7 linked regions of the Mus musculus genome follow. The protein of the gene in region 3 binds, or shares a complex with, the protein of the main gene of each other region. Links are inferred from orthologs where the notes say so. Each region holds a gene or a part of one and is shown on either strand. Other genes may lie near its edges. The genes, in order: Ing3, Asdurf, Ruvbl1, Vps72, Anp32e, Meaf6 and Epc1.

Region 1 (4,206 bases), about 67 Mb from region 3:
TCGTGTCTTTCCTCCTAGCGTCCTGTATAAAATGGCGAGCTGGAGTTCCTCCTTCCTGCAGTGACAATAGAGTCCCTCTCTATTTGTGCCGACTGCCTCTTCTCTTCATGGCAGCGGTGCACTGCGGACAGAACCACTTCCCCTTCGGCGCTTCGGTCAAGCCAACACACCCATAGTGGAACCACTCTATTGGACACTGGAAGAGAAAATTTAAAAAAAAAAGGGGAGTTGGTATTTCTAAAGAACAGATAATAATAATAAAAAAAATGCTTAGGACACACAGTATTTCATTTAACCAAACTTAGGTCTGTGCGATCAGATTTCTTGGACCCTGGCAGTGACTAAACGTTACTGAGTCTGACAGATGTGCCTCATGGATGAAAACATGGACACCCAGGAAAAGGATGCTTCTTTGATAAGAGAGACGTCATGGACTCTAGTACCTGAGCACTAAAGAATGGACATTTATTTGCTGCCATCAACTTGGACAGCCGCCAGGCGGTGCCATCTTCCAAAGAATAAAGAATATGAATCTTACATGAAGAAGGAAAACATGTAAAAGACTTAAAAATATCCAGCCATAATTGTTCTCTGGAAGTGGAATGAGCTAGCTGTAACTAAAGCCATCAACTGGCTGTGTTTCCTTTCTGGTGCTCTATCCAGAGATATGGAGGAAACCCTCCTCTCTGAAATATTAAAAAATTCTTCACTCCACAGGAAGGCTTGATACCCACAACAGCACTGGAGGAACTACAGGGACCCCAGAGGACACTGCTTTAAAACACCTCCCCACATACACACACAAGTGACTGCACGGGACAGCTGGGGAGGGACTGTGCCCTTCTCAAGAGCACAGTGCACCCACCCTGTCAGGGAAGGAACACACACAACTGTCCTTGTGACTCTTGTTAATATCAGAATTCTGACACCACTGGTGTCACCAAGGTCACAAGTTTCATGCTACTCCTTTGAAGTACAACAGGTACAAAAGGGAGTAGCAGGTACAAAACTGCTGTAGGGCAGTTAAGGAATGAGCCAAAATCCCTAGACAATCAAACAGTATTTAATCAAACATGCATCTTTATCCAAAATTAAATCCCTTTTGTGGTTTGAATATGAAATTCCCCTGATAAGCTCAGTTGGTCCCCAGCTAGTAGCACTGTTTAGGAAGTTTCTAGAACCTTTAGGACAGGGTGCCTTGCTAGAAGTGCTTCACTGGGGTGGACTGGAGGTTTCAAACCCTGCCTCCACTTGTACTTGCTGCCTCCCTTCTGCCTGCCCTGGGTGGGTGAAACAGAATCAGGTGGCTTCCTGACTACCAGGCCAACCTTACACTCCTGCTGCCATGCGTGCCCTGCCAAGATGGACTGTGTTCCCTTTGGAACTGTAAGTCAAGAGACACCCTTCCCTGCCTTAAGTTGCTTTCTGTCACGGTGTTCTTATCAAGTAACTAATACCCTTCCTAGCACAGGAAGCAGGAGTCCTTTCTCAAATCTCCTCTCAGTTTCCCATCAGAGATGGCTTGTACAGTCCAAGCCCCTTGTGGAGAGAATGCCGAATGCTATAATAACGAGGGAAATAACCACACATTAGGTCTTAATTATCCCTGAGCATCCTTTTAGTTTCACTTCTTCAATGTGATAAACAACCAGGACTCTGGTAAATACAGTATCTTAGGCGGAAAGAAAAGAAAGCACTTCGAACTGCCAACAGTAATCCTTGTGAATTTAATCTGAACCTAACACGAGTAGTGCCACCTTGAAACACTGAAGCAGGAAAATCATTAAAGCCATGTAGATGCTTTCATCAGGATAATGTAGTTATCCCAAATGAAAACCTGATTGCCAAACTGGGAAATAGAATTAATAAGACAAATACTCAGTCATCTACACCTTTTTACATCCCAATATAGGAAAATGCAATACTCACATCTTGGTTATCACATCCCACCATCTCTCCATAGGATACCTGGTTCAAAGAAAATTAGATAAACATTACAAGTATGTTACAAGCATTTAAGAAGTTGGCACATTGCATAACCGCACAATATGATCTTCTTCTCTCTGATTCATAAATACTCAGTAGAAAAGCACTGCCTTTAAACTCACAGACTGGCCTTACAGGTAGCTAGTCAACCAGCGCCTTCGTCACGGGTCTCCCAGTCTCTAGCACCATCACAGGGAGGAGTTTCTGCTGTGTAGGCCACAGGGCCAGTGGTGTATTACATCATGCATGCAGGGTACATGTGTTGTGACATCAAATGTCTCACCATAGGTTGTATGGGAAAGTTGGCATTACACGTAATTCATGATTCTTGGTATTTATAGCAAGTATACTACTTTTATAAGACAAAAATTATAAGTAAACCATTCTTGATTTTAGTTAGCATAAAAATGTGCTGATTTTAAAACAGTTTTCTTTCTTGTTTCTTCAGACTACACTTTTATAGACACGCAGTAGATGTTTTTACCTGATTACAGATGCAATACCGAGGTTCATTTGGGTCGTAAGTCCAATCGACTTGACTGTTGGAGTCAGATTCGGGCACTACAGTTGCTTGCTGGGAAACTTCTTGTACTACAGTTGAAGACGATGAACACAGAGATAAGGAGGAAGAGGACGACGAGGAGGAGGAGGACGACGACTGCTGGCTTGAAGACTTGGTGTTGTTTCTGAAAAAATTACAGGCAGATTAGCTGCATTTGTTCACTGGGGCGGTTCCCCGAGAGTGACTCCTCGTCACCGACACAGAAGGAAAGGACACGCTGAGGTCTGACCCTAGGTTTACAATTTTTGTTTTCTGGAGAATAAGTTCCTTTAAGAAGGAAATATTCTTAAAATCTTCTATTTAAAATAAATAGAAGAAAATTCTCTTAAAATGTTTCAACTTTTAAAGATAATTTCTAAATTAAGGTTACTATCTACCATTGACTTAAAATTTTTGGTAGTGTTCAAGAATAATAGTTACACCATCTCACACTGTTAATGTTTTTACAGTAAATTAAAGAGTTCTTATCAAAACCTAAGTACAAATATAGAAAAGTATTTGGCAAAGTCCTAACATCAGTTGGCATGTGTCCTATGCCTATCAAGTATAGCTGGATCTGAGAGTATCAGAATTCAACAACTGTTTACCACCAACTCTATTCCAGAGAACATGCAGAAATTTATTATAAGGAGTTCAACTAAATGTGGGCAATTCATATCAATTTTAAGATGTATAATAGTTCTGTGGAGACTTTACATTGATCATTCTTTCAGGAGATTTTTGTAGAGAAGTAATACATTTAAAATAAAGATAAAATGCATTATTATATAACTAACTCTTTTGGTCTCTCATTTGCACCTTTTTTTCCTCCTTCAGCTCAGACAACAGGGTTTCTAAACACCTAAACTACAAATAGGAATAGTGACACAAAATGATTTATCTGAAAGAACAAAAGAAAGTAAAAAGAAGTCACTTACATACTAACTGAGAACAATTACAAATGACTCTAACAGTTGAAAGACTTCCTTCCTGCCTTCAAGGTGAGGCAGTGCAGAGAGCCAACTGCCTATCCAGTGTTTAGCCTGGATCACTGTACCCTGCTGTGGTTAATCCCTGGAGATGTATGGATACAGCTCCACACAACAACCCTGAACAAAGACACACACTGCCATGGGAAACTTACTTGCTCTTCCTGCCACTCCGCGAGTCCGTGGCGGAGGAACTGGCATTCTGGGTTAAGGTTGTCATGAGTGCCGATGAGGAGGAGTAGCCAGCTGTTTCTCTGGGTATGGAAAATTCTTTTCCCAGCTGGAAGTCATTGTTCTTAAATGCTTCGTAACTGGCTTTTAAACTCGATGTTCTTCGCCCTTCTTTCATCTTAAGTAGACATGTATTGACAACATCAATATATGTAAATATGTATTTTCTCTTTAAGTGTTACACGTTATGGTTATTTAAGTCATGGAAAAATTCAGAGTCTTTTTCATGCTAAGCTGAGAATAAACATGGGAAATAGAATGTCTTAACTCACACTATGTGCAAACCACAGAAATGAGCTAACTGCAGCCAACACAGATAAAAGCCCAATGGTACAGAAAGAGCAGATATTGTCCTCATGATGACAGGAAGGTAACTTGTGCACTAACTGGGAAAAGGGTCAACGTGATGGCATGATGCGTCACTCTATACCCAATAACTTCTCTGCATTATTACTAAAA
Region 2 (4,874 bases), on a different chromosome or scaffold from region 3:
CTGCCCAAGATCAAGCCAATCCAAATCCCAGCCCGAGCCCTACCGGAAGAGTCTTTTTAAAACTGTAGAACATCTGCAAGGTGGTTGTGGTGCAGCGCATGCCTTTAATCTCAGCACTTGAGAGGCAGAGGCAGGCAGATCTCTGAGTTCAAGACCAACCTGATCCATACACTAAGTTTCAGGACAGCCAAGGCTACACAGAGAAACTCTGTCTTAAAGGACTCCCCCTGCCACCCCCTCTCCCCAAAAAACCAAAACCAAAACCAAAACCAAAAAACCCCCCCAAAAACCAAAAACCAATAAACAACCCACTGTACATATCTTTGGAAGTCTAACTGGAAAACAGACCACTGTACTAAATCAACACACACATTTATTCAGATAGGGCTTAACTGAGGCACCATTATGAATCCCCACAAAAAGCTTACAAAAGGTTTTCTGTAGCATTCCATATATAACTCTGAAAACAAAAACCAAGACGACCACCACTCACTTTTGCTTTCAGAAAAGATTTTTGTTCGATCTTCAAGAAAGAATATGTTGCTGTTCTGTTGCTGCTTGTATACTCTCTGCAAACGAAATTGACAAGATCAGGGTATGACATGCACACTGATGCTGAACAGGATCCTGTTATCATTTATTCTTGAACTTCAGGAATATTCAGAACAGTAATTACCACAGAGAAACAAAGCCACTGAATACTACGCCACCCAGAACTGGTTGTTTACTTAGCATGCATCATCATACCACACACTTTCAGTAACAAAAGCTATCATAGCCACAGATTTATAATTTACTTCATAAATGAATAATACATGGAGACCTTTTCTGACCATATGGGTACAACACTATAGTTCTTTGCTGGCCTCAAGCTTCAGACACTTACTGTATCGTCACTACAGGTGCTGATGAGCGCCTCTACGTGTAAACACACATGCACCCTCACAACTGCTTACACACCAGTTACTCAGAAGTGTCAAACAGCATTTACACATTTTGACAGTTTGATCTCCAAAAATTTGTATTAATTTGCCTTAGCATCTAATATATCCCAAATGACAATATCAGAAATGTCAAGAATGTCAGTCATTACATAATCGCAGCTGATTTCTGAACATATTCATAAAAAAGGCATTAAATGGGTTAAGTATTTAGAATAGTAAAGTTTTCTGTGAAAAACTTCATTCTTTTTTGTTAAAATATAATAAATATTTTTTTATCTTTGAGATCTATTGACATATACAGGAAAAACAAATTTAAAACATGCAAAAACAAACTAGGATACCACGTTAGCTTTTAAATTATGATCTTTGAATTTTGTAATGTTAGCATAAATAATCGAAATCATAATTTTAATATACTATTCAGATTTCCACAGCAACTCACCCGATTCTTCTTTAGATTAGAAAGTTCATCCACAATAATTTTCTGTTCTTTAATCTATTAAAGTAAAGAAAAAAATCTAAAGTGGAAGATTTCAAAGTATGTTTAGCGAGAACATTTTAAGTCACTGCTTTAAAACTAAAGATGGGGTTGGGGGCTATAATGGACTGCCTGTCTAAATGGACACTGAACAAATCAACAGCACTCAGTCTGGAATCAGTAGAAGACAGCTTGAGAAGGAGAAGCATAGGCTTGCCAGGGGTCAGTTACCACAGCTCACATCTTTAACCAGGGTGAGCCACTGCCTACCCAAATTAATACCAATCTTTTAAGCCAGGCAGTGGTGGCGCACGCCTTTAATCTCAGCACTTGAGAGGCAGAGGCAGGCAGATTTCTGAGTTCGAGGCCAGCCTGGTCTACAGACTGAGTTCTGTGACAGCCAGAGCTACACAGAGAAACCCTGTCTTGAAAAAAACAAAAAACAACCAAACAAAAGAACCAAAAACAAACAAAACCTCTCCCGAAAACAACAAAAACCCAATCTTTTAGTTTTATAAGGTCTTGCTGTAGACAAAAAGAGAGAAATAAAATGAATGTGGGTTCTCCTCTTTACCAACAACCAATGGTTTTATGATGTATGCACTAGATGACAGCCAGACATTCGGATAAAACAAATGAAATGGTACTATGGTACTGAATGCCCTACCTGCACTGATCCAACATGATTTTCCACCACTGTATCATTCTATTTCAAGTATTAAGGACTGCATATTGCTGGTATCGTTAAGCTAGGCAAATAGTCTATTAAGTCCTGAGAGCTGTACTAATAACCTACAAAGCCATATTGAGTACGCTTTCCTTGAGATTCAAGTCTGCTTGTACAGTGTTTTTATGCTCATTACAGGAATGACAGGTGTCACTTTAGGTGACACCACAGTACACTGTGGTACAGCGGGAATTAGGCAATGTACTGAAGATATCATATAGGACAGAAAAAATACAGAATTTAGGAATGTTTAATATCTGAAAAGACTATACCCACACCCTTCCACTCTACACGTTTAAAGATTTTCGTCTGTAACTGGAAGTTAGGACTAGTTCCGGTATGGGGTTGCCTCCCTGAAATCCTGGCTATTAGGCAAGAGAATTATTCAAGTAATGCCTAAGCAATAATATCTGAGGCTGGCCTGAGTTATTTATGAAATCCTATCCTAAAGGTATAGAAAAAAATTAATTTGATAGGGTGCTCCTTTCTCTTGTTGAATAATAAAGAGATGACCAAACAGATGTTTTTAGGATCACTTAAAGTTGAGAATATATTTTAAGGTAACAGGCAGCTGAGAAAATCGGCTAAGAAGCTTTTGCCTGAGTCTGGAAGAACAGGTACAGACTTCTAAACTTTTATGATGGACGTCATGGATGGCACCCAGGCGGGTGCGTGGCTAACTGGATGAAGCACAGCCACAGAGCAACAGATCTGTGTGTGACTGAGCAACACATCTGTGTGTCACTTTTTTTCAGGGGACACGCCTCCATCGTCGCAAACCTGCAGGATGGAGGGGAATCAGCTGCTGGTGCTGAGAATGCACGGCGGAGGCTACAGGGCACAGCGGGGCCCGCCGCCCACCACCCTTCCCCGGCGTCCCACGGCACCTTGCTGCTAAGGGACTCGGCGTGCGCAGTCGATGTGTGTGGGGGCCCCGGCGCGGCGCGGCCATCGGCGTGCACCCCACTGCTGGGCATCGCCTAGCCGCGCCGCACGCCAAGAACCGCGACTGAGGAAGGAACGGCAGCCAGCAGCCCCGGCAGGAAGCCTGGGTTCCACTCAGGAATCCGCCCCTTCCGGCACCCCGACCAATGGAGTGCGCACACTCACGCCTGCGCAGTGGCAAGCGCGCGCGGGGTGGGTTGTGAAAAGTCGAATTAAGAGTTGTGCTCCACTGCAAAATGGTTTTCTGCTAAATGTAGGTGTGGCTTGGCTGCAGAATCTATGAATGGTCTGTATCGCCCCCTAGTGGATCCTATGTAAAAATAAATCACTATAATTTAATACTCTTAAATTTGGTTTTCTTCTCCTCCTCCCCCTCCCCCTTCCTCCTCCTCCCCCTCCTTCTTCCTCTTCTTCTTTTTCTTCTCATCCCCTTCCCCCTCCTCTCCCCTCCCCTTCCTCTTCCTCCTCCTCCTTCTCTTCCTCTTCTTCTCGTCCCTTCCCTCCTCCCCCTCCTCCTCCTCCTTCTCCTCCTCCTCCTCCCCTCCCCTCCTCCTCTTCTTCTTCAGATTTACTTATTTTATGTATATGATGAGTTCACTGTCTCTGTCTTAAGACATACCAGATGCAGATCTCAGGTGCAGAGGATACCATAGAAAACATTGAAACAACAGTCAAGGAAAATGCAAATTGCAAAAAGCTCCTAACCCAAAATATCCAGGAAATCCAGGACACAATGACAAGACCAAATCTAAGGATAACAGGTATAGAAGAGAGTGAAGATTCCCAACTTAAATGGTCAGTAAATATCCTCAACAAAATTAAACAAGAAAACTTTCCTAACCTAAAGAATTTGATGCCCATGAACATACAAGAAGCCTACAGAACTCCAAATAAATTGGACCAGAAAAGAAATTCCTCCCATCACATAATAATCAAAATACCAAATGCACTAAACAAACAAACAAACAAAAGAATATTAAAAGCAGTAAGGAAAAAGGGTGAAGTAACATGCAAAGTCATACCTATCAGAATTACACCAGACTTCTCAGCAGAGACTATGAAAGCTGGAAGATCCTGGGCAGATGTCATACAGACCCTAAGAGACCACAAATAGCAGCCCTGACTACTATTACAGCAACACCCTCAATTACCATAGATGGAGAAACAAAGATATTCCATGGCAAAACAAAATGTACACAGTGTCTTTCCACAAATCTAGCTCTATAAAGGATAATAGATGGAAAACACCCACACAAGGAGGGAAACTGCACCCTAGAAAAAGCAAGAAAGTAATCTCCTTTCAACACACCCAAAAGAAGATAACCACACAAACATAAAAATAACATAAAAAATAATAGGAAGCAGCAATCACTATTCCTTAATTTCTCTTAACATCAATGGACTCAATCCCCCCAATAAAAAGACATAGACTAACAGACTGGATATGTAAACTGGGCCCAACATTTTGCTGCATATAGGAAACACACCTCAGTGTCAAAGACAAACACTATGTCAGAATAAAGGGCTGAGAATAATTTTCCAATCAAATGGTCCCAAGAAACAAATTGGAGTAGACATTCTAATATAGGATAAAATTGACTTTCAACCAAAAGTCATCAAAAAAGATAAGGAAGGACACTTCATACTCATCAAAGGAAATATCTACTAAGAAGAACCCTTAATTCTGAACATTTATGCTCCAAATGCAAGGGCACCCGCGTTCATAAAAGAAGCTTTACTAAGTTAAAAGCACACATTGCACCTCACACAATAATTGTGG
Region 3 (4,206 bases):
GCTTGGCAGCCCTTAGTAACTGAGTGGGCTGTTGGTTTACATTTTAGCTTTATGAACTCATCTATAAGAAAGCTCGTTACCCCATCTGTGTAAGTTCTGTTCTTTTGGGGCTGGGGACTTCATTTCTCACATAGATTTCCAGTGAATTTCTTGTGTTTTTTTATCATGTTTAAATCAAAGACTGTGGAAATTTGACTATTTTTGGTTTTAGGCTACTTCAACATGGCAGATTTCAGATATTAAGATGTCCTCAGAATTCTGGCCTTCCCCACTACCCACAATAAACTTTAAGAAGAGTTGAAAGGGTATTCAGTAACAAAAATTTAAACATCATTTTTAAACTTTTTTTTTTTAAAGAAGATGGTAGCTATTCTAAGTACTGTGATTTGAATCCTGATAAAACTTGTCATGTTACAATTCTCTCTTATTATTCTTGTATAGCTTAATGGTAACCTTGAACTCCTGCTCCTCCTGAGGCGCGGTAGTAGCACAGGCTTGTTCTTCATGGCCGGTCTCGTGCTGTGCTGAGGATCAGGCCTAGAGTGCCATGCTTGTTAGGCAAGCACTCTGCTGAGCAGCCCAGTCCTAACATTTACCGTTTGACCCGTTTCCAACTGTAAAACTCATTGACATACGACACAACCATCAGTGCTATCTATAGTTCCAAGCTTTTTAAAGGATATATTCTTTTTTTTATATATATACCTTATGTGTATAAAGATACATGTGTGCATGTCTGTGCACCACATGCATGCATGAGCCTGTGGAGGCCAGAAGAAGGCATTAGACCCCCTGAAGTTGGAGTTATGGTCAGCTGTGAGCCACCACGTGGGTGCTAGGAAAACCAAATCACAGGGCCTCTTCAGGAGCAGTGACACAGAGCTTACACAGAGCCCTCGACACAGAGTTGTCCTCCAGCGCCTGTTTCCAGAACCTTTTCCTCACCTCAAAACCAAGACTGCTGTGGCCCCGATTAGCATCCAGTCCCATCCTCCCTGCTCAGGCTGCATCGCCTCTGACTACCTTCTGTGCACGGCCACTTTGTTTTCCTGGCATGCAGTCTGATACCCATTGGCCTCTGTGTCTGGTTGTTTACTACCGTGTTTCAAGTTTATCCTGCCATACAATTTACTTTCACTTAATTTTATAATAAATATACACTGATACTCACCTGTATGGAAAGAATTTAAAAATTGATTATTTATTTATTTATTTATTTATTTTTTGCTTGCTTGAATCTTTTTTCTTCTCCCTTTTTTGTCAGTGTGCACACGCTCACGCCCACGGCACTGCACACATGTGGGGGTCTCTGAATTGAACTCAGACTATTGGGCTTTAAGCACCTTTGCCTGCTGGACCATGTCGCCAGCCCTGAAACCAAATATTTTGATATTAACAACTAAATTGAAATGGCATGCCTCGCTCTCTGTTATTCTAATCAGTTGTGTTATTTCTTGCAGTTGTGATGGCTGTTAGGGAGACTGATGGCCGCCTGGGTCAGGATGGCTTGATGCAGAGCCCCACAGTTGCTCAGCGTCCCGTGCTGTGGCTGGGCTGGCTGTAGGGCACCAGCGTCTGCCCAGCATATGTCCCGTCAGGCGGCTGGCACAGGCTGGCAGGTTGGCAGGCTTCCTCTCCTGGCTGTTGACTAGGGCTTGGCTAAAGGTTGAAAAGAAAAACAAAGGATGTAATTGGACAATTCTCAGGAAGAAAAGCATGGATGTGAGGGGAAACATTTGTGCCTCATTAGTAAGCAAGGAAATGCAACTCAATCAAGGTGTTCCCTTTTCTTTTTCTAAATTATTAAAGCAGCAAATATTTAGGAATTAAAATGTTCGGTGCTGCCTGTGGTGCTGAGACCAGGCCCCTCACGTAGCTGTGCAGGTTGGCACAGTCATCCACGCAGTAGATCTCTGGGATGCTCAAGCCTGGTGATCATTTCAGAGGAGGCAATTCATGAATGTGTGCTGTCAAGTGGAAATTAGGTCTGGCTATTAAGACTAAAGCAACAGACAAAACAGAAAAATGTATACATTAGCGGTATAATTATAAAATACTCTTTGAAGGTTTAGCAAATAGATGGGTCTGTTTGATTTTGGATTTGGTTTCGGTGTGTTCCCTTCCCGAACTGGGATAATAAAGCTGTTGCCCAGGGCCACCTGGCTCTGATACTCAGGGATGCTAGCTACCTACTTGTACTGTGAGTGCCTCCACTCATGTGTCTGTTGTCCAAGATGTAAGCATTTTTTGGGTGATGGGAGTGATTTTGGCCCTTGCAGGGGCACTGAGGACATCACTTCTCCACACGGCATCCCGTTGGATCTGCTAGACAGGGTGATGATCATCAGGACCATGCTATACACGCCACAGGAGATGAAGCAGGTAAGCCCGGAATCTCATGCTCTCCCCCCCCTTTCTACCCGCTTCTGACCACTTGGCTAGCCTAGGCCTTGCTCTGCTCACTCTTCTGAGCAAATCCCAGTGTCCTTGAGGCTCTGACAGATGGGTTCTTCTGAGTGGACATTCTTAGATGGTTAGATTAGAGCCCATGGTCTTGCCCAGCTATTTCTGGTGAGCTTGAGGAAAGGGAGGAAAGAAAACATGGGCTTAGTGGTCACCAGATGCCCTCAGCCTGAAGAAAGGAGCAAGGAAGTATGATGTAGTTGCTTGGTATGGTAATGCACACCTGCAGTTCCAGCACTCAGGAGGCTGAGGCAGGAGGATCACAGGTTTTAGGCATAGTGAGATCCTGTCTCAAAAGGAAACAAACAAGCAAACACAAACATTCTGGGCCTGTACCTTGTTGCTAGACTGATTTTTTTCCAGCATGCACTAAGCCTCGGTTTTGGTCCCCAGTGCCACATAAACTCAACTTGGTGAAGCTTTCCTGTACTTGGCCAGCACTTGAGAAATTGAGGTGGAGGGTCCTCCTCAGCCACACAGTGAGGTGGAAGCTAGGCTAGACTTTTAACAGAACAAACAGGAACCCAGATAGATGAGCATACTAAGCGTAGCACACAGATGTCTCAGTGTTATATATAATGCCAGCGAGTGGCTAGGACAGTGGCTGGAGCATTGTGGTGGCTGTGGCTCTTCTCTGAAACTGTGTGCTCTCCTATGGCCCGTGCAGTGTGGCCTTGCCAGTATTTCTCATTAATAGCACTCAGGGATTCATGGTGACATACCAGCAAATCTCTCTTCTCCCAGACCAGCTGTTAAAGGTCATAGTGCCACTTGTGAACCTTATTTAGGAAGTCAGCTCCATGGCCTGTCTAACGTCTCCTCCATTCCTGTGACGGTCAGTACCTGAGGGAATCAACTTAAGTAAGGAGAGGGTTATTGTGGACATGGTTTCTTGGCTTTGGCTTGTCATCTAGCCCTGTCCTTTGAACTTTGAGCTCTATAGTGTATCACGAAGGAGACAGAACAGAGTAGGTAGCTTACTCTTGATGGGCTTGGGGTGAAGAAAGATAGGAAAGACTCGGGGGTCCCATTATCTCCTTAGAGGGACTCACTGGGCCAGCTTCCTCCCCCTGGGCCCCATGTCTTGAAATGGCCCATTGCCTACCAGGCCAGTGCTAGGTGGCCGCTGAGCAGGAGCAGGAGCAAAGCCACCGTGCAGATCAGGAAGTGCTTGCTGTTGAGCTCAAAGCTTTAGTCCTGCCAAGAAGTGACACCCACCGTTCTGTGGCTTCCCTTTGCTGGCCTAGTGGCTCAAGCAACTGGGCACCTGTGGGAGCTGATTTTGGTTGTCAACTTGACACACCTCAGGAAGAGAGAACTTCAGTTGGGGAATTGTCTCCCTCAGATTGGCCTGTGGCACGTTTTCTTGATTACAAATGATGTAGGCTGGCCCAGCCCATTGTGGGCAGTGCTATCCCTAGGTCACCCTGAACTGTTTAAGAAACGAGCTAGACGTCAGCCTGGGTGCCTCTTAGTGAGCAGCACCCCTCCATGTGTCTGCTGCAGTTCCTGCCTCCAGGTCCAGCTGAGTTCCTGCCCTGGCTTTCCTGCATGGTGGTCTGTGGCCTGTGAGATGTAATAAACCTGTCCTTCCCAAGTCACCTTGGTCATTGTTGCACCACAACAGAAGCAGTCTAGAATACCCTCTCTGGTAAAGGAGAGACCTACCTTGGGCTTTGGCCATTGCCACTCAGAATCCATTAAGATGGTGACAGGAGACTCCCTGCTTTTCGGAATTATCAC
Region 4 (3,216 bases), on a different chromosome or scaffold from region 3:
AGGTCCCCGCACCTACATAACAGCATAACAGGGTGGCAGACACAGGAACATTGGGGGCTTGCTGGCTCCTGATAGCCTAGAGAACAGGAGCCCAGGTTCAGAAAGAGAGCCTGTCTCAAAGGATAGGTGGAATTACAGATGACCCTGCCTGGCCTCTGCATAGGTGCACCACCCGACACGTGGTTGTATACATAGACACATACAGAGACACACACACTCAGTGTAAGGATTTTGTTCTGGTATTTAAGAGACTATGTACTGGCTGGTTTTATGTGTCAATTTGACACAGGCTGGAGTTATCATGGAGAAAGGAGCTTCAGTTGAAGAAATGCCTCCATGAGATCCAGCTGTAAGGCATTTTCTCAATTAGTGAACAAGGGGGAAAGGCCCCTTGTGGGTGGGACCATCTCTGGGCTGGTAGTCTTGGGTTCTGTAAGAGAGCAAACTGAGCAAGCCAGTAACATCCCTCCATGGCCTCTGCATCAGCTCCTGCTCCCTGACCTGCTTGACTTCCTTTGGTGATTAACAGCAATGTGGAAAGTATAAGCTGAATAAACCTTTTCCTCCTCAACTTGCTTATTGGTCATGATGTTTGTGCAGGAATAGGAACCCTGACTAAGACAGACTAAGAGAGTTAAATATGGATAACCCAGGTAAGTGTAATAAAAATGATAGACATGAGTGCAGGCATCTTTATGACACCCACTACTTAGTAAATACATGCTACTTAAAAGGACAGAGCAGGAACAGTGATTTACCCCTCTAGGCCCAGCGCTTGGAAGGTTGACATGGGAGGCTTGCTTGAGCCCAGGAGTCTGAAATTAGTCTGGATAAATTAGCAAGAACTTGTGGTTTATTTATTTATTTATTTGTTTTTTTTTTTTTCCAAGACAGGATTTGTCTGTTTAGCCCTGGCTGTCCTGGAACTCACTCTGTAGACCAGGTTGGCCTCGAACTCAGAAATCCCCCTGCCTCTGCCCCAACCTTACACATCAGACAAAAAGGATTTTACCATTTTATTAGATTAAAAAAATGAAGAGCACAAGTAAATGAAATGAACTAGGGAGGAACTGAGGGAAACAAGGGCGAAGGTTGGCAGAAGGGAGGGCGGAGTGGAGAGCCAGGTCAGGAGAGGGACTGTCTAGGGGTCAGGTGTCTCTATTTGATGACAATCTTCTGACGCAAGGCTCGAGGCCCAGAGCCAGGTAGTGGCTCGGGGGGTGGGGGCCCGGGGCCCAGCGCCGAGGCGGTGGGTGGAAGTCCGTGGGCAGTGATGTACTTCTTGTACGCCTCACGGATGATCTTGAAGGCTCTAGCAGTGGCATAGGGTATGTCTGTAACAGGGTCCCGGTACAAAGCTGGACGGTGGGTCACTGGGCAGACCTCCCGCACCGGGACCTTCGGGGGTCGCCCCTGGGGGAACCACTCTTCAAACGTTGCATCATCACTGAACGTGATGAAGGTGCGAGAGCAGTGAGCAGGAGGGGTGGCAGCGGCAGCTCCAGTCCCGGTCCCAGCATGTGGAGCCAGTGCAGAGGCTGTAGGAGCAGGATCAAGGCTGAGGGCAAGAGAAAAGTCACAAAATGCTGCGGAGACAGACAAAGGAAGGTGGTAGGCTAGGTTTGCTGGCTGTGACCTCAGTATTTACCAGGCCATGGGGCTGGAAAGATGGCTCAGCAGTTAAGAGCTGGGCTACTCTCCCAGGATAGAGGTTTGAGGCCTAGCACTCAAACAGTGGCTCACAACCGTCTGTAACTTCAGTTACACGGAATATGTCACCCTCTTCTGGCTTCAATGGGTACCAGGCCAGACAAAGCAGGCAAAACACTGATATACATTAAAATAAAATAAATAAATAAGCAAACAAACAAATAATAAAATAAAATAAAAAGTTGGGCATGATGCTTCACATTTGTGACCCCAATACTAAGGAGAAAGAGGCGGGTAGATCATGAATACTAGCCTGGGCTATATAAGGAGTTCCAGGCCAGCCAGAGCTACAGAGTAAGACCAACTCAAAACAAAACAACAGGAAGTGTCAGAGCCATTTGTCTGCTTCTCAAGTAGAGTAAAAGTCTGCCCGCCAGGCAGAGTCAAGGCAGGTCAGGGTCTGCTGCCAGATTTCCTGGCCTGCTGACATAAAACGTTAGGAAGAGATACACGTAAGGCTTGAGAGGAAGAGGTAAACATTCTGTTAACCTCGGAGGAAGGAACAGGGAGGCCTCAGGATGAGATCAGATACCCTATATACATGGCAGCAATTGTTTCTGCTAGCTTGTTAGTTTTATATCCTGAGACACTGCGGTATCAGAAGGCTACACGCATTACACTTGGGCTACTACAGTACTCACTGACAGACCCCTCTCTTGTCCTGTGTCTGCTGTCTTCTCTTTGATCATCCTCACTCCCCGCTCAGAGACTACTTACCTGGTGCTGGCAGCCAGCAGAGGGAAGGAATGAGCTGAGGTCTGAATGTGTGCAGTGAGAAAAGTAAACTCCTAGAGAAGCCGGGGGCACGGGGTTCACTCACCCTTCCACGTCCACATTTTCCTCCTTGGGGCCGGGCTCCCCAACAAGCGGCACCGTCACTGAGTGGTAGGTGATTATTGGCCCAGGGCACTTCCGCTTCTTGTGAACCTGCTTCTTTTTGTCAGCCTCCAGCCTTTCATAGGTCTCTGCAGGATCGAAGGGAGAAACGACAGAATGGTCAGCTTTCCTTTCCCACACTCTGGCCTGTCATCTACTTAAATTACACATATGTATTTTCAAGAGTGTATGTACATGAACACATGTGTGGAGAGGTCAGATGACAATGTGCTAGGGTCAGTTCTCGGCTTCCATCGTGTGGATTCCAAGAATTAAACTCAGGCTGTCACCAACTGCTTTACCTGCTGAGCTATCACAGCTCTCTGGGCTCTGTCCTGTGATTTTGTTTCTTTGTTTCTTTTTTGGCTTTTTGAGACAGGGTTTCTCTGTGTGGCTTTGGCTCTCCCGGAACTCAGAGATCTGCCTGACTCTGCCTCCCAGGTGCTGAGATTAAAAGTGTGTGTGCGGGGCTGGTGAGGTGGCTCAGTGGGTAAGAGCACCCGACTGCTCTTCCGAAGGTCCGGAGTTCAAATCCCAGCAACCACATGGTGGCTAACAACCATCCGTAACAAGATCTGACTCCCTCTTCTGGTGTGTCTGAAGACAGCTACAGTGTTCTTACATATAATA
Region 5 (4,658 bases), on a different chromosome or scaffold from region 3:
ATGAATGCCAGTAGAATCCCAACCTTGCTAACCTTCAGAAATCAGTATTAGAAAGCTTCTAAGACAGCCCACCTTTGGGGTGTCAGCTGAAGATAAACAATATCACACAAAACAATATTCAAAACATTGTTTCTCCTTCTGCTGCTCAAGCTGCCACATGGACTGTCCCAAGCTTGGAGGCCACATGGACTGTCTGTCCCATGCTTGGAGGGAGGGGGGACTGAACGTCTTTTCTTTTCTTAATGCATATGGTTGAATGCATGTGTGTCTGTGCACCCTAGGCATGCAGTACCCATGGAAGCCAGAAGATGGGTGTTGGATAACTGGGACTGGAGTTACAGACAGTAGTGAGCTGCCATGTGGGTTCTGGTTCTGGGAAGACCTGGAAGGACAGCCAGTGTTGGTAACCCCTGAGCCATCTCTCTGGCTCAGAAGGGGATTTCTTTTTTTCTTTTTTTTTTTTTTTTTTTTAGATTTTTTGAGACAGGATTTCTCTGTGTAGCCCTGGCTGTCCTGGAACTCACTCTGTAGACCAGGCTGGCCTCAAACTCAGAAATTTGCCTGCCTCTGTCTCCCAAGTGCTGGGATTAAAGGCGTGCACCACCACGCCCGGCCCAGAAGGGGATTTCTTAATATCTCTGGGCAGTAAATTTATTTATTTATTTTTTAATGTGTATCCATTTTTCCTCATATGAACCTCATATGTGCCCAGTGCCTTCAGAGGCCAGAAAAGGAGTTGGACTCCTGGGAGTTTGTAAGCCACCTTGTGAGTGGTGGCTCATAACCACTGAGCCACAGATCTGAGATATAGTAACAAAACTTACCCTATGCACCTGAATAGATGTAATCACAAAAGCAAACCCTGGTTCTCTATTCCCAGAGCAAAAAAAATGTCTATTTAAAGGCAACAAGGACTGTCATCTTCCCTACTTGAGTGTAACTTTGGCATTATTTAAATGAGCAGAAATGGTACAAAGATATCCCTGTTATAGCCTCAGGGAAGCCTAGGTATGCAAAATGACTTGCATTACGTCACACCATTAGTGTCAGGTAGGGACATTTTGATAAGTCTGTTTGGGTTTTGGTTTTGTTTTGTTTTGTTTTAAGACATGGTCTTTGTGTAGCCCTGTCTGTCCTATAACTTGCTCTGTAGACTAGCATGGTCTCTGAATCACAGAAATCCATCTGCCTGCCTCTGCCTCCTGGCTGTTGGGATTAACAGCTCGTGGGACACTATCTCCGACTTGTTCATTTGGTTTTTGTTTTGTTTTGTTTTTTGTTTTTTGTTTTTTTTTTTTTTTTTGGTTTTTCGAGACAGGGTTTCTCTGTGTAGCCCTGGCTGTCCTGGAACTCACTCTGTAGACCAGGCTGGCCTTGAACCCAGAAATCCACCTGCCTCTGCCTCTCGAGTGCTGGGATTAAAGGCATGCGCCACCACCGTCTGGCTGTTCGTTTTTGAGACAGCTGTAGTCAAACTCAAAACTGGCCTCAAACTCAAAAAGATCTGCCTGCCTCTGCCTTGAATTAAATGCCTACCACGCCAAGCAATTCTTAAGCCTTTGGATTCTGGTCTTAACCAGAGACTTCTTAGAGCTCAGCAAGAGTTTTGTAGACCTAGTGTCAGAATCCCAGCTCTTCAACTTTACTCCTATTTGCTAATTTGGATTCTAGAACAATACAACCCAGCTTACATTTTCCCAAGGAGAAAGTAAATAAATGGGAGTGCCTTATAAACTATCTATATAAACTTAACTGTTACCACACCACACCAAAGGAAAGAGACTGCAAAAAGGCATGTCAAGCAATCCTCCAAATTGAAGGTGAAAGGATGGGGCGGAGGGGACGACCCATTTTTGCTCCACAAGACTTCTGAGAAACTGCTTGTTTTGATTTGCTTTGCCTTGTTTGACAGAGTCCCACTTGCAACCAGCGTCCTACCTCGGCCTCCCTCCCAAGGGCTGGGAATTTCTTGATATGAGAAGTACAGATTTACAGATATACAGAATTACAGATATCACTCACCACGTCCTGCTGACAGCTTTCAACTTTTGAGTTTTTCTAGAATCTTCTAAGAAGCTCTAGAAAACTTCCATTGCTCCCAGAGATAACCCTCACAGCAACAATGTTTCCACCACCTCTCTCTCGCCTCCAGTCACCAAAACCCGCAAAGGAACCACGAAAATCAGCAGGGCTCAGGGACCGTTGGCTCTGCATGATAACTGTGGAGGCCCGGCAGATGCCCGCCTTTGAGCGGGCGTCAAGGGACCACGGCGGCGCGGACCCCTTGTCCCTCGATTTCACGCCGCGGCCGCGAATCAGCGAGCCTGGTCCCCGCCCGCCGCGGCCAATCTCCAGACCCGCGGACCTGGCGTAAACCGCTAGGGAATCCGACGGCGGGGAGTCGGGGCGACGCCTCCCGGGCCCCCTTCAAGACTCGGGACTCTTCCCTACGACCGCACTGAGCGCAGCGAGGCTCGCACAAGCCTCCAGCTTGCGTAAAAGTCCGCGCGCCACGCGGATCGCGGCCCGCGCCGTCGGGTCCCGGGATTCCGCTGCGGCCCCGGCCGCGGCGCGTGCTGCCCGCGAGCGGGCACGGTCGGAGGGAGCGTGGGGCACAGATCGGCGCGAGTCCCACACCCGGGGCCGCGGCCGGCCGAGTGGCGGCGCCGCGGGAAAGTTACACCAACTTCGCAGGTGGCGAGGACCCGGGGGTCGCGCCCACGCCGCCCGCGCCCGCGATGCCGGGCCACCAGTCTGCGAGGACGCCATGGGGCTGAGCCCCCGCGCGCTCACGAAAATGCCCCTAGAAACTTAAGCCCTTCGCCATTTTAAGCACAAGAGCCTGGTGATTTAAAACTTAAAATAAACACCCCGCCTCCACCCCAAGTGGGGGCGCGCTTCCCAGCCCGCCCTGCGCACCCACCCGGACCCCCGAAGCCCACCCCTCACGATCCAGGGCGGGAGGGGACTATGGGGGCTGAGTCATCTCACCTCCTCCGGGGCTCTGTTCTTCAACTCCATGTTAATCTTCTTCTTCATCTCCATGTCCTCCTCCTTTCCCCTCGCCTGCCCTCCCCACTATCCCCAACCCTAAAAAAACCTCTAAAGGTCTGGAGATGAATGAAAAGAGACGCAAAGACGAACGCCCACTACCACACGGGTGTGGGAGAGAAAGAAAAGAATAGCAAATGGAGTCCGACGACTTGGGACTAACTCGGCTGCCCCCACCTCCGAGTCCACACACCCGCGCGCGCACACTCGGGCACGCACACACTTTCACACAGAGAGAGTGAGGGAGAGAGACACGCGCGCGCCCGCAGTTCCTTCCCCTTCAATGGCTGCTGCGAGACTGAGCCTCCATGACACGGCACCGCCAACCCCCCCTAGCCTACACTCCACCCACCTCCCAACGGGATTGGTCGAGTCCTTAGCGTCACACGACTCCATTGGGCTAGAGGGTTGTCCATTTGTCTTTAGGGGGGACCTGGACCAGAAACTCAGTGTCTATTGGCTCTGACTAGGCGCGCAGTTAATTCCGATAGGTTCGGGAGGATGTACGTCCCGGAGAAATGATTTTGAATCCCAGTCGCCCCCCTCCTTTTCTTTGTGTGATTGGCGCGCTTTCCCCTTGGTAGTAGGACGGTTTGGGTGTCTGTTGGGTTTGTTTTTGTTTGTTTGGGGTTTTTCTGGCTTCAGGGTTAAAAGGAAGGGAAAAGGCGTCGTTGGCATCCCCAAGTTGTAAGTGGGTCATGCAACACACTGCACCCAGAGCTTTCGGTGGTCTTAAAGCACAAGCCTTCTGCTCTGCGGCTAAAGTGTAAGCAGGGGCGCGAGCGCGAACAGCGTGTTGGTGACACCTCCCCGTCCCGAACTGCTTGTAGAACCAGAGCGTGATAAAGAAGGTATTTTAACTTCCAACATAAAGGGGGGAACGGCTCTGAAAGCAGAGTTGAGTTTAGCACGTTGAGTCAGAAGCCTTTAAATAAAACTGTCCAGGAGGAGTTGATACTGAGGTCATTTGTCACTGCTAAAAAGTTGGAATATTAGAGCCAGCCGCGGTGGCACACGCCTTTAATCCCAGCACTGGAAGGCAGAGTCAGGCAGATCTCTGAATTCGAGGCCAACCTGGTCTACAGAGCGAGTTCCAGGATTACACAGAAAGGGGGGTGGGGTGGGGAGAGACTGTTTCCAAAAGACAGAAAAACAAACAAACAAAATTGACACCTTAGAGGAAAAATAACACAGGCCTAAAGAAACACAATTATCAGAAACTGTCCAGCAAGGCCTCTCCTTTCCTACAGGAATCTACTTAAAATGTTCTTTTAAGTGTGAGGGGATGGAGAGGCAATGACCTCTAGCAGAGGTTCCACCCTGGTTCGATTTCTAGCACCCATATAGTGGCTCATAATCACCCATAACTACAATGCCAGGAAATTCAGAGGCATCCTCCGGACTCCACAGGCCACAGGCACAGATGCATTGTGTGTGCGTACGTGCAGGCAAAACACACGGATATGCAAAAACAAAATAAGTAAATTAAAAACAAAACCAAAACTTTTTTTTTCTGTTTAATGTTCCTGAAAGATCCAACATTCCTTTAATCATAGCCCTCAGAAGGGAGAGAGGGGCAGATCCACAGTCATCTACTAAGTAAATCC
Region 6 (4,856 bases), on a different chromosome or scaffold from region 3:
TGTGAGTCAGAAGCCAGCCTGGTCTACACAGAGAAACCCTGTCTCCAAACAAACAAACAAACAACAACAAAATATTAATGAGACATAACTGCCGAAAGCCACTGGATCCAGGATCAAAAAAAGAGTAGCAAAGCATTGTGGGGCCAACCAAGGGAATCTGAAGGAATCCGTGTTAATGTTTAAGCTATAAGCATCCGAGTTATATGCAGAGATGCCTTGCTCTTCTCAGGAAGTAACTGATAATATATTTAGAGGCAGAGATTCGTGGTGTAAGCGCCTAACTCTTCAATGGTTAGCAGGGAGAGAAAGCACGGGCAAACAGCAATGTAACCACAGAGGAGGAGCAGGGAGGAGACCCTGTGACGGCGGAATGGGTCTGCATCTTTATACACACACTAATCAGAGGGCAGCTTTCCACCAGTGGCCCTTGCTTTCTACCTTGTTGAGACAGAGGCAATCTGGTTATTTGGACAGCACTACATAGTTCAGGCTGTCCTGCAAACTTCCCAAGTGAGCGATTCTCCTGTCCCCAAATCCCACCACATATGCTAAAATTCCAGACGTGCATTTACACATGTGTGTTAAATGGCAGGGGTGGGGGTGGGGGTGGGGGATGGTCCAAAAGTTCAGTAGACAGAGTCTAATCCCCTGGGGCTCCGTTACAGGTAGCTGTAAGGCACCTAACAGTGATGCTGGGAGTCGAACTCCTGTCCTCTGCCAGAGCAGTGTGTGCTCTTAACTGCTGAGCCATCTCTCCTGTTGCCAGTTGTGCCTTTTAACACAGGTTCTGGGAACTGAGCTCCGGTCATCAGGCTTGTACACCAAGCGCCTTTACTCACCGAGCAATATCTCCTGGGCCTGGTTTCACATCCTGTAGTTATACACATACGTTAAAATGCCATACCCACCCCCACCCCCACCCCCACACAGCCAATCTTGATTTCCTGATTTTGATGATACTCTATAGTTACGTAAAACGTAACCATCAGAGAAAACTACGTAAGCACACACAAGCCATGTCTATTGTTTGTACAGCTTTCTATCGCCATCTGTAAATTATTTCCAAACAAAAGGTTCTTAAGCACACAGAGAAGTTTTCGTACTTCAGAGAGAGCATGCACCCACAGTGAGTTAGCAACTCATGAATACATGGGAAAAACACTAACTGGTCATGCACATTCTCATCTCAGTTTTCCTACAGATTTGAAAAATTCCTCACAAGCGTAGGCATTTTTATACAATCGCATGACTGAGCTGACAGTGGTAACAATGAACTTGGAGGTAGAACAAAGATCGTAATGGCACAGCGTGGCTGATGAAAATGTGGAAGACAGTTCGGTCACAGGCTGTACTTCACTTACACCCACACATCCCTGCACCATGGGCCCTATTTTCTTTCATCACAAATACTGGCTTCCCCAAGGTTTCTCCGTGAGCCGTCAGAGTACAAGTTCAAGCTTAGACCCCATTCCACACTACGGCTCTACCATCTCCTTGCAGAGTAAATGCCAAAAGCAAATGTCCCAAGCTGGACATGACAGTCCATACCTTTAAATCTATCAGTCAGAAGTCAGAGGGAGAAAGAGCTATGTGATCTGTGAATCCGAGGCCAGCCTGCTTTACTTAGTGAGTTCCAGGCTAACCAGGGCTACATAGTAAGACCATGTTTTAAATCAAAACAAAAATCCTGCAGCCAAATATTAGTAGAGGATAAAATGGAGAGATACTATTAGATTTTTTTTTCTTCCAGACAGGGTTTCTCTGTATAGCCCTGGCTGTCCTGGAACTTACTCTGTTGACCAGGCTGGCCTCGAACTCAGAAATCTACCTGCCTCTGCTTCCCAAGTGCTGGGATTAAAGGCGTGCACCACCAGTGCTCAGCTAATACTACTAGATTTTGACACTCACTTTTGATTGGTCAAATACCGATCCCAGCCACGGATAATATTGCCATACATCTGAGTGTCTTCCAGGTAGCTTCCTTCAAAAGCATATATCTGTCTCTCCAAGTTTGCAAGTGTTTCCTAGGTGATGAAAACAGGGACAGGGAAAAACAAGCATTAAGCAAACTGAAATTCCGTCACAGACTTGTAAAGTCAAGCTTACCCACAATGAACCATTTCTGTGGAAGTGTAGGGGTGATGGACCCCTTTATAAATAGAATGAAATGTATAGTCTATCCTCAGAAAATGCACACACATGCAAGATTTTGCATCTACTTCAGAGGCAAAACCTAGCTGTCACGAGCAGGGATGAGACAGACCGTGAGCTGTCTCCATTCTCACTCACTAAATGTGTTGCTACCAGCAGCGAGAAGGGTGAACAGCTTTTCAAAAGCATCTCTTCTACATCAACTGCTTCCTCCCTGCTAGCTCTGGAAGGGCCGCCCGCAGTGGATGCCGGTTGCTATGGAAACCTGGAAGGGCAGCTTCAGGTGAGCTTTGCCTCCCGGATGCTCGCCGTAAAAGGCGGGAGCCTACAGGGCAGTCAGCAGGGTGCCGGCGGCTCCTGGTGCGCGTCACCAATCCAAATTCCCTAGGCTGCGTCTTGGGTCTCCCGCCAGCCCCGTTCCTTGGCATCCTCAAATACACCACATTCCCCGGCCATTGAAACGCGCCGCCCATGGAATCCATCGTGCATCTTCTCCAGGCCGGGGTCTAGCCGCCTCCTTTCCAACCGCTAACCCGACCTGAGCGTCGTCCCCGCCTCCTGCCTCTCGCCCTTCCCGCGCCCTCACCGCCCCGCCCCGCCCCACTGAGCGCAGGCCGGGAACCGCGCCGCCGCAGGGAACCGCGCCGCGCCCGGCCGCCCAGAGCGCCCAGACCCTGGCTGCCCGCCGTCCTCGCCTCCGGAGCTGCCTGCGAGGCCAAGTGGGGACGGCGTCCAGGCCTCGGCCACTCACCGCCAGCTCCTGCTTCCGCTTAACCAGCTCGGCCAGCTCCCGCCGGGTGTCTGGGATCTGCGGCGGCGCCGTCTTGTTGTGCATCGCCATGTTGGGCTCAAGCGGCGGCGGAGGCGGCGGCGCGCGACCAGTAGGCGGACCCTGCGCACTGTCGCCGCTGGCCGCCAGGGGGCGCGACCCCCCACACCGCGCCTGCGCGCGCGGCTTCCGGGGAAGCTGGCCGGCTCAGCGCGCGAAAGCCGGCGCGGAGAGGCGCTTGTACGTGTGGGACCTTCCTTGCTGCTCCACTGTGGGCCTCTGAGCTTAACAGACACCCACAGACATTCACTACATCGAGAACCCAGCTGCAGCATAGGCCTGTTGAGTATTCCATATGTCTCCCGGCAGACGAGGTCCTTGCAACACCACCCAACTGCAGGTGGAAAACCTGAGCAAGGTTCCGCCCACCAACCGGGTTGCAGAGAAGATCCCCAAACCAACATCTTGCTGGGTTTAGCACAGGCAAGCAGATCTCCTGTTGTACGTGGTTTGCCGGAGGGGAAGGATTATGAAAGAATTAGCTTCTATCTTCAGATCCAGAACTGTATCCAGGCTGGTATTGAACAGAAACAGACCGTGAGTTTATCGTCCTGCCTCTGCCTTCCCACTGCTGGGATTCCATGTGTTGAGCATGCCCGCTGTTAATAGGTGCTGGGGATGGATCTCAGGACAGACGAAGCAAGCACTCTACAGGTACACCCTGAGCCCACCTCTGCATTCTCAGTGCTCAGCAACGTCACTCGTAGTTTAGGTGGCGTTCTTTGCCCCCATGGGTGGATGTCCTTGGGTTTCTATGCCCTAGATGTATATTGTTCAACAGGTATGAGAAATTCTCAATTTTCTAAAACTCCTCTTGCCTAATTTTCTCTCTCACAAACCTCTTCACTAATCTCTTGTTCCTCTCCAGTAGTACATGCCTATAATTCTAGCACCCAAGAGGCCGCGGTAAAAGAAGCAGGAAGGTCAAGGTACTACATAGTATTTGGGCCAGTAAGACTATATAAGACAGTTTCACCACCACCCCCCAAAAAAGAAAGTCAAGGCTGTAGATGAAACTCAGTTGGTAAAATATCTGCCTAAGCCCAAGCTTGCACAAATCCCTGAATTTGAGTCTAGCATCTCTTCCTTTCCTGCCAGCCTGGCCCACAGAAGAACCTCCCAGGGCCAGGCATGGTGGCACATGTCTTTATTCCCAGCACTCAGGGGACTCGAAGACAGACAGGACAGCTGTTTTGAGGGGGAAAAAATCAAGATGAGCCTCAACTACACAGAGAATTTGAGGCTAGCCTAGGCTCAAAAAAATAACAATCAGACCTTGGAAATTTTCTTTTTATGTCTATGAGTGTTTTGCCTGCATGTATGTCTCTGTACCATATGCATGCAATTCCCAAGAAGACCAGAAGACATCAGATCCTCCTGGGACTGGAGGAATAGTTGTAAGCTGCCATGTGGGTGCTGGAGATTGAACCAGGGTCCTGGGGGAGAGCTCTGATCCATCCTCTCTCCAGCTTTTCCCCCTGCCCCGTTTTAATGACTGAGTCCCAATTTGAGATGCCCATATATTTATAGGTGTGAGATCATCCAATGGAAAGTGATCAACCTACCAGGGCCCACACCTTAAAGCTGACTCTTCCCCCACAGGAGTCACCCACTGTTGATAGCTTCTTAGCTAGGGATGGAGGCTTGGGCACCTCTCTCTCCTACATGCTGCCAAGATGACTGGCTTGATCTTAGGCCAGTCTTTTGTAAGCAGCTACAGCTGCTGGGCTCCTGAATACAGCAGCCCTGACCTGTCCATGTGGAGAAGGCACTGCTCACCTCATTCCTCCCCGACCTCTGGCTCTGGCCGTCTGAAATGGCCCCTAAGCCTTAGGGTGGTGGTCATGGTAAACATGTCGCCTTTGTGGCTCAGCAT
Region 7 (4,206 bases), on a different chromosome or scaffold from region 3:
AACCCAGCTACTTGTTAACCACTAAACACTAGCTCTCCCAACTTTATTTCTGCTTTGCCTATTTCTGATCTACACTCACAGTTACCTTGCTGTGAAAATGTTTCTCTTTGTTTTAAAACAACAGTGATTGTCTGTACAGTGAACTGAGCAGCACACGTTGCTCTAAGACCCGCCTAGAAAGGCTTCTGTCTATTACCTGCACTGCTTTAATATGTATGTCTATGTTTTAAGCTTAGTTCTTGCTAATCTGAATAATGCAGGTCTTTGTTTCTTTTTCTCCTAGTACTATGTAGCAGCAGGACTTTAATTAGTTAATACAGAGTTAAAGTAATAGTTAGTTATAGTTAAAAAGGCGCCTTGACAAAAACCCTAAACTACTGAACTTCAATAAGGTGAGTGAGCAGAGAAAGCAATGATTAGATGTGGCCAGGTCTGCCAGCATTGCCACTACTGGGAGTAGCTAGCAGACTGTGGAAGAAAGGTTTACCAATTTCAGTCCCACAGTAGGCTACAGATGAAATCAACAGCACAACAACACATGCGAAAAAGAATTCCTCGCACCCAAAGCTGGAGAAGATTTCTAGAGATTTCTAGGTTACTGCTGCAGTAGGAGGTCCACGTCACAGAAGCAACATGACTTTCCCAGGGAGTGGACCGGCTTAGTCTCAAGACTGAATTCAACTAACACTGAATTATAACATCCACTTGCTTAGTTCTTGAATAAACAAAGATTTGTGTGTGTGTATTCATTCATTCAATACACAGAAGGAAACGAGAAAATTTAGGTGGATAGCCACTTCAGGAGGCAGAGTTAGGTGTTTACATTTCAGACATTTCAGCTTAGAAGAACTACTCACCTTGGAACTGAATCTACAGAGGATGAGGAGGGGACCTTGGAAACTTGACAATTTGCTGCAGCAGCCAGCTTTAAGGCAGATGGCGGAACAGCACTTAAAGTCCTAGGTATATGCCGTGCGTTTATTGGGGTGACAGAGTTGACAGTGGGGACAGATGAGGGGACAGTTAATCGGATGTTGTTCCCAAACAGAACCTGAGTTGTTGCAGAGCTGGCAGCAGTTACTTGGTGACTCAGTGAGCTGTGGGAACCCGAAGTCTGTGTAATATTTGAAGGCTGTAACAAAGTTGAACCTGCTGTCGAAGGACTCGTATGTACAAGTGCCGTTGGTGTAGTGCTACTGAGGTGTAAGCCCTTGTATACTCCTAGGGAGAAAAAGAAAGCGTGTAAGCGCTGTGCATTTTGTGGCTGAGTCACGATGTGTACAAATACGTATGCACGCAGATGCCACCCCTCACCTGAGGCAGGAAGGACGCCATTCACCCCGAGCCCGAGCACCACATCATCCTTCACCTTGAACCCCAGCAGCTGTTCCGACGTCATCAAAGCAGAAGCAGCAAACTGTGCACTAGCAGAGTCCAACGTCTTAGAAACAAAACCCTGATAGGAAAACACAAAGGTCAGCATGAGTCAGAGCAACACAGGCCACCACAGTCAGTCGGCCTCACTACACAGGTCACCACAGTCAGCTTCACAGATCTAAAAGCAGCAAACCAATGAGATCTATTCTATTTTCATAGCCGTAAGTCTGAAGGTTGAAAAGTTAGCTAACTTAAGGGTTTATACATTTTGATCTTCCTATGGGAATACAAAATATATACAAAGCAATTACCAAAATAAGCCTATTAGTACAGAATGCAACAACAGCAAAAAGTTCCACTTGAAAGGTTAAAACACATTTCTCAGGTAGTGCAGTGCTGGACGAACCCATTAAGGCAAATATGTAAACTTCTTCCATTTAATCTCTAAATGGCTCCTCTCTGTAAACACCCTCAGTGCTAATATCCACCCACTGTACACTCAAAGGCATCTTTCAATAGTAAGACAACCATCTCTTAATTAAAAAAAGATCTGACATCGTAATTAAAAAATGAGAAGACCTCTTTAATCTCCAAAAATGAAATTTCCTTTAAGATGCTTAGAAGACTCAATTCTCAGCCTTTCAAGCCCCAACTCTATCTATACAGCAAATACTTTTCCAAGAGCAGAACAGGTTGTTTGGGCTTAGTTCTGGAACCGGAACATCTGCTGCTGGGGCTTTACGTTGGGGACAGTACGTTACACACAGACCACGAGTCAGAAAGAAGCAACTTTACAACTAAGAGAACCATGGTCTCAGGCTACTCTGTGTAACAGGCAGCAGAGCAAACAGCTCCCAGACTCACCTGGAATGTTCTTTCTAAACCCTGTACATTCAGGCCAGAGCCACTTTTCTGCTGGTTAGATGCAAGGTTCTAGGACAACACTTGGTAATTAGAGATGAACTCTGGTGGGAAACAACGAGGATAATCCTAAGACACAAGGCCCTCACCTGTTGCGCGGCGGCAGAGGAACTACTATTTGCTTGCTGCTGCTGCTGAGTCTGCGCAAGCTGCTGCTGCTGCATGAGTGCCAGCTGCTGCTGGTGCTGCTGGTACTGTTCGGCTGTGAATGCTGAACATAAATAAGGAGACAGTTCACAAGATGCACAGACACCAGACGCCTTACAACATTAAAAATTCAGCAGAAGAAAAAGATGTTTTTGTGCAAAATGGAAGCATTTGGATAGAAATGATGCTGCCAGAGATGGCTCCCAGAGGCAAACGAGCATCTTCTGCCACATTTAACCAAAGTGGCTTCAAGTTAAAGAAAAAGCCACTACTTTTTTCAGCTGTGACACTGTGCTGGACAGTGCAGAAAGTGCTCTTGGGCTCCCAGTCCACACTCTTGGAGATGCACTTTGCAGTGAGTATGAGGTGAAACCTGGTAAACAGCATTCCGCTTCTATTTTGTCCAGATCGTCATACCGAGGCCCGGGCCTTCCCAACAGCTGTGTACAAACACTAAAGTCTACATAGCTTCTTATTCCAATCATTGCAAAACTTTCTTCTACATAAAAAGTAAATCTGATAGTTTAATACTTAGACAGGAGAACTTATCTTTCAAGTTTAACAGGAAGAAAAGAAGTACCAGGATTAAGGTTAATGAACTTGCCCCACCCAGTTAACCCACCTGGACAAAATCCAGTCAATAAGAACGGAGTTATGCTGATTACTGTACAGAGTGAAGCCTGAGGACAGACACTGTGTTATGCTACTATGTGTGTCTATGGAGAGCTCAGTTCTAAAAAAGACAAACAAAAAAAATGTTCATTTATTACCCCCCAAAGTGTGTGCAACTTTAAAAAGGAAACCTGTTTCTTTATTCTTTTCCTTTGCCAGGTTAAAAAGAAAGGGGGGGAGGGGAGAAGAAAAAAGAAAGCAAATAGTATCACAACCACCTGACAGTAAAGGCTTCTTAAAGAAACCATTCCGAGTAGAAGTTACTTAAACAAACCAAAACCAAAAAATTCCCCCCAAAACCCCAAACAATCAATCAAAAAAAAAAAAAAAAAAAAACCAAACACACAAACAAACCAAAACCAAAACCCAAAACAATAGAGTTACGCTACATCCTATGGTACCAGGGCATCTATTATCCACCGTTCCTGGGGCTCAAGCCTGCCATTTCAAACATGCCCACCTGACTTGCTATGAAGTGCTCCGCTAGTTGGAATATCATCATCCCATCAAGTTTTCTGAATTTCACCTGTAACTTGGGAGGGATCTTTACTAACCTCCAGGGTCCTGGGTCCAGGGTCTGCCTGGTGGCACTGGACAATAGGAACACATCTACCACACTTTCAATGTACCCAGAAGACCGTTAGGCTACCAGAACCTTCACACGTTCCTCAACTGAATTAAGCTCATGGCCCACACTTCTCCCTAGAAAAATACTCCTATTGATTCTCTTATTTTTTGAGTGTTACAGCTCCACTTAGTTGGTATCTGATTTGTAAGTCTTTTCTAACATTTGCAATCTACAGATTCTATGGGGAGACTTACTGATATTATGATATTCACTAAATACTGACAGAAGTATTTCCTGCTACCAAGACACTGACATGTGACAGAATTGAGCTGGGCCAAAATGATGAAAAAAAGCTACAAAAATGAATGCTACCCAGAATGATGGTTGAGAGTTAACATAATACTTTAACTTCCTAAAATCAAATGTGCTGCCTCAGCCTTTACTTTTTCAGTAGGCAATATTCAGTAATTTTTTTAAAAAAAAGGTTTTTTTTGTTTTTTCTGGAAGGGTCAGGCATTTCA

The links.
Region 1: Ruvbl1 (region 3) and Ing3 share a complex: the UniProt entries of both Homo sapiens proteins name them as parts of the SWR1-like complex. The link is inferred for Mus musculus from reciprocal best matches to the Homo sapiens genes RUVBL1 and ING3.
Region 2: Ruvbl1 (region 3) and Asdurf share a complex: the UniProt entries of both Homo sapiens proteins name them as parts of the PAQosome complex. The link is inferred for Mus musculus from reciprocal best matches to the Homo sapiens genes RUVBL1 and ASDURF.
Region 4: the proteins of Ruvbl1 (region 3) and Vps72 are in contact, whole or in part, in a cryo-EM structure (PDB 9CA9), measured with the Homo sapiens proteins. The link is inferred for Mus musculus from reciprocal best matches to the Homo sapiens genes RUVBL1 and VPS72. Residues at the interface, in NP_003698.1 of Homo sapiens: Thr136, Leu138, Pro140, Glu142, Met147, Tyr150, Gly151, Lys152, Thr153, Ile154, Ser155, His156, Val157, Asp173, Pro174, Phe177, Glu178, Gln181, Ala187, Gly188, Arg205, Thr208, Tyr209, Ala210, Thr211, Glu212, Phe213; in NP_005988.1 of Homo sapiens: Ile212, His215, Arg263, Thr264, Phe265, Ile266, Thr267, Phe268, Ser269, Asp271, Phe274, Trp277, Phe278, Gln280, Gly281, Arg282, Pro283, Pro284, Lys285, Val286, Pro287, Arg289, Glu290, Ala299, Leu300, Tyr301, Arg302, Pro309.
Region 5: Ruvbl1 (region 3) and Anp32e share a complex: the UniProt entries of both Homo sapiens proteins name them as parts of the SWR1-like complex. The link is inferred for Mus musculus from reciprocal best matches to the Homo sapiens genes RUVBL1 and ANP32E.
Region 6: Ruvbl1 (region 3) and Meaf6 share a complex: the UniProt entries of both Homo sapiens proteins name them as parts of the nuA4 histone acetyltransferase complex. The link is inferred for Mus musculus from reciprocal best matches to the Homo sapiens genes RUVBL1 and MEAF6.
Region 7: Ruvbl1 (region 3) and Epc1 share a complex: the UniProt entries of both Homo sapiens proteins name them as parts of the nuA4-related complex. The link is inferred for Mus musculus from reciprocal best matches to the Homo sapiens genes RUVBL1 and EPC1.

Annotation. Positions count from the first base shown.
Region 1 is NC_000072.6:21,969,573-21,973,778, reverse strand, and holds part of Ing3 (inhibitor of growth protein 3), read right to left. Parts: intron 3,866-4,206; coding exon 3,672-3,865; intron 2,673-3,671; coding exon 2,471-2,672; intron 1,969-2,470; coding exon 1,930-1,968; intron 197-1,929; coding exon 80-196; 3' UTR 1-79. UniProt on the Homo sapiens protein: Component of the NuA4 histone acetyltransferase (HAT) complex which is involved in transcriptional activation of select genes principally by acetylation of nucleosomal histones H4 and H2A.
Region 2 is NC_000067.6:53,349,494-53,354,367, forward strand, and holds the start of Asdurf (ASNSD1 upstream open reading frame protein), read right to left. Parts: upstream 3,260-4,874; 5' UTR 3,127-3,259; coding exon 3,037-3,126; intron 1,441-3,036; coding exon 1,387-1,440; intron 570-1,386; coding exon 494-569; intron 1-493.
Region 3 is NC_000072.6:88,489,237-88,493,442, forward strand, and holds part of Ruvbl1 (ruvB-like 1), read left to right. Parts: intron 1-2,279; coding exon 2,280-2,382; intron 2,383-2,388; exon of another isoform or gene 2,389-4,206. UniProt on the Homo sapiens protein: Possesses single-stranded DNA-stimulated ATPase and ATP-dependent DNA helicase (3' to 5') activity; hexamerization is thought to be critical for ATP hydrolysis and adjacent subunits in the ring-like structure contribute to the ATPase activity.
Region 4 is NC_000069.6:95,120,721-95,123,936, reverse strand, and holds the end of Vps72 (vacuolar protein sorting-associated protein 72 homolog), read right to left. Parts: intron 2,676-3,216; coding exon 2,531-2,675; intron 1,559-2,530; coding exon 1,159-1,558; 3' UTR 886-1,158; downstream 1-885. UniProt on the Homo sapiens protein: Deposition-and-exchange histone chaperone specific for H2AZ1, specifically chaperones H2AZ1 and deposits it into nucleosomes.
Region 5 is NC_000069.6:95,927,984-95,932,641, reverse strand, and holds the start of Anp32e (acidic leucine-rich nuclear phosphoprotein 32 family member E), read right to left. Parts: upstream 3,386-4,658; 5' UTR 3,046-3,385; coding exon 2,992-3,045; intron 1-2,991. UniProt on the Homo sapiens protein: Histone chaperone that specifically mediates the genome-wide removal of histone H2A.Z/H2AZ1 from the nucleosome: removes H2A.Z/H2AZ1 from its normal sites of deposition, especially from enhancer and insulator regions.
Region 6 is NC_000070.6:125,083,313-125,088,168, reverse strand, and holds the start of Meaf6 (chromatin modification-related protein MEAF6), read right to left. Parts: upstream 3,009-4,856; 5' UTR 2,993-3,008; coding exon 2,903-2,992; intron 2,025-2,902; coding exon 1,909-2,024; intron 1-1,908.
Region 7 is NC_000084.6:6,438,735-6,442,940, forward strand, and holds part of Epc1 (enhancer of polycomb homolog 1), read right to left. Parts: intron 2,510-4,206; coding exon 2,388-2,509; intron 1,457-2,387; coding exon 1,315-1,456; intron 1,222-1,314; coding exon 858-1,221; intron 1-857. UniProt on the Homo sapiens protein: Component of the NuA4 histone acetyltransferase (HAT) complex, a multiprotein complex involved in transcriptional activation of select genes principally by acetylation of nucleosomal histones H4 and H2A.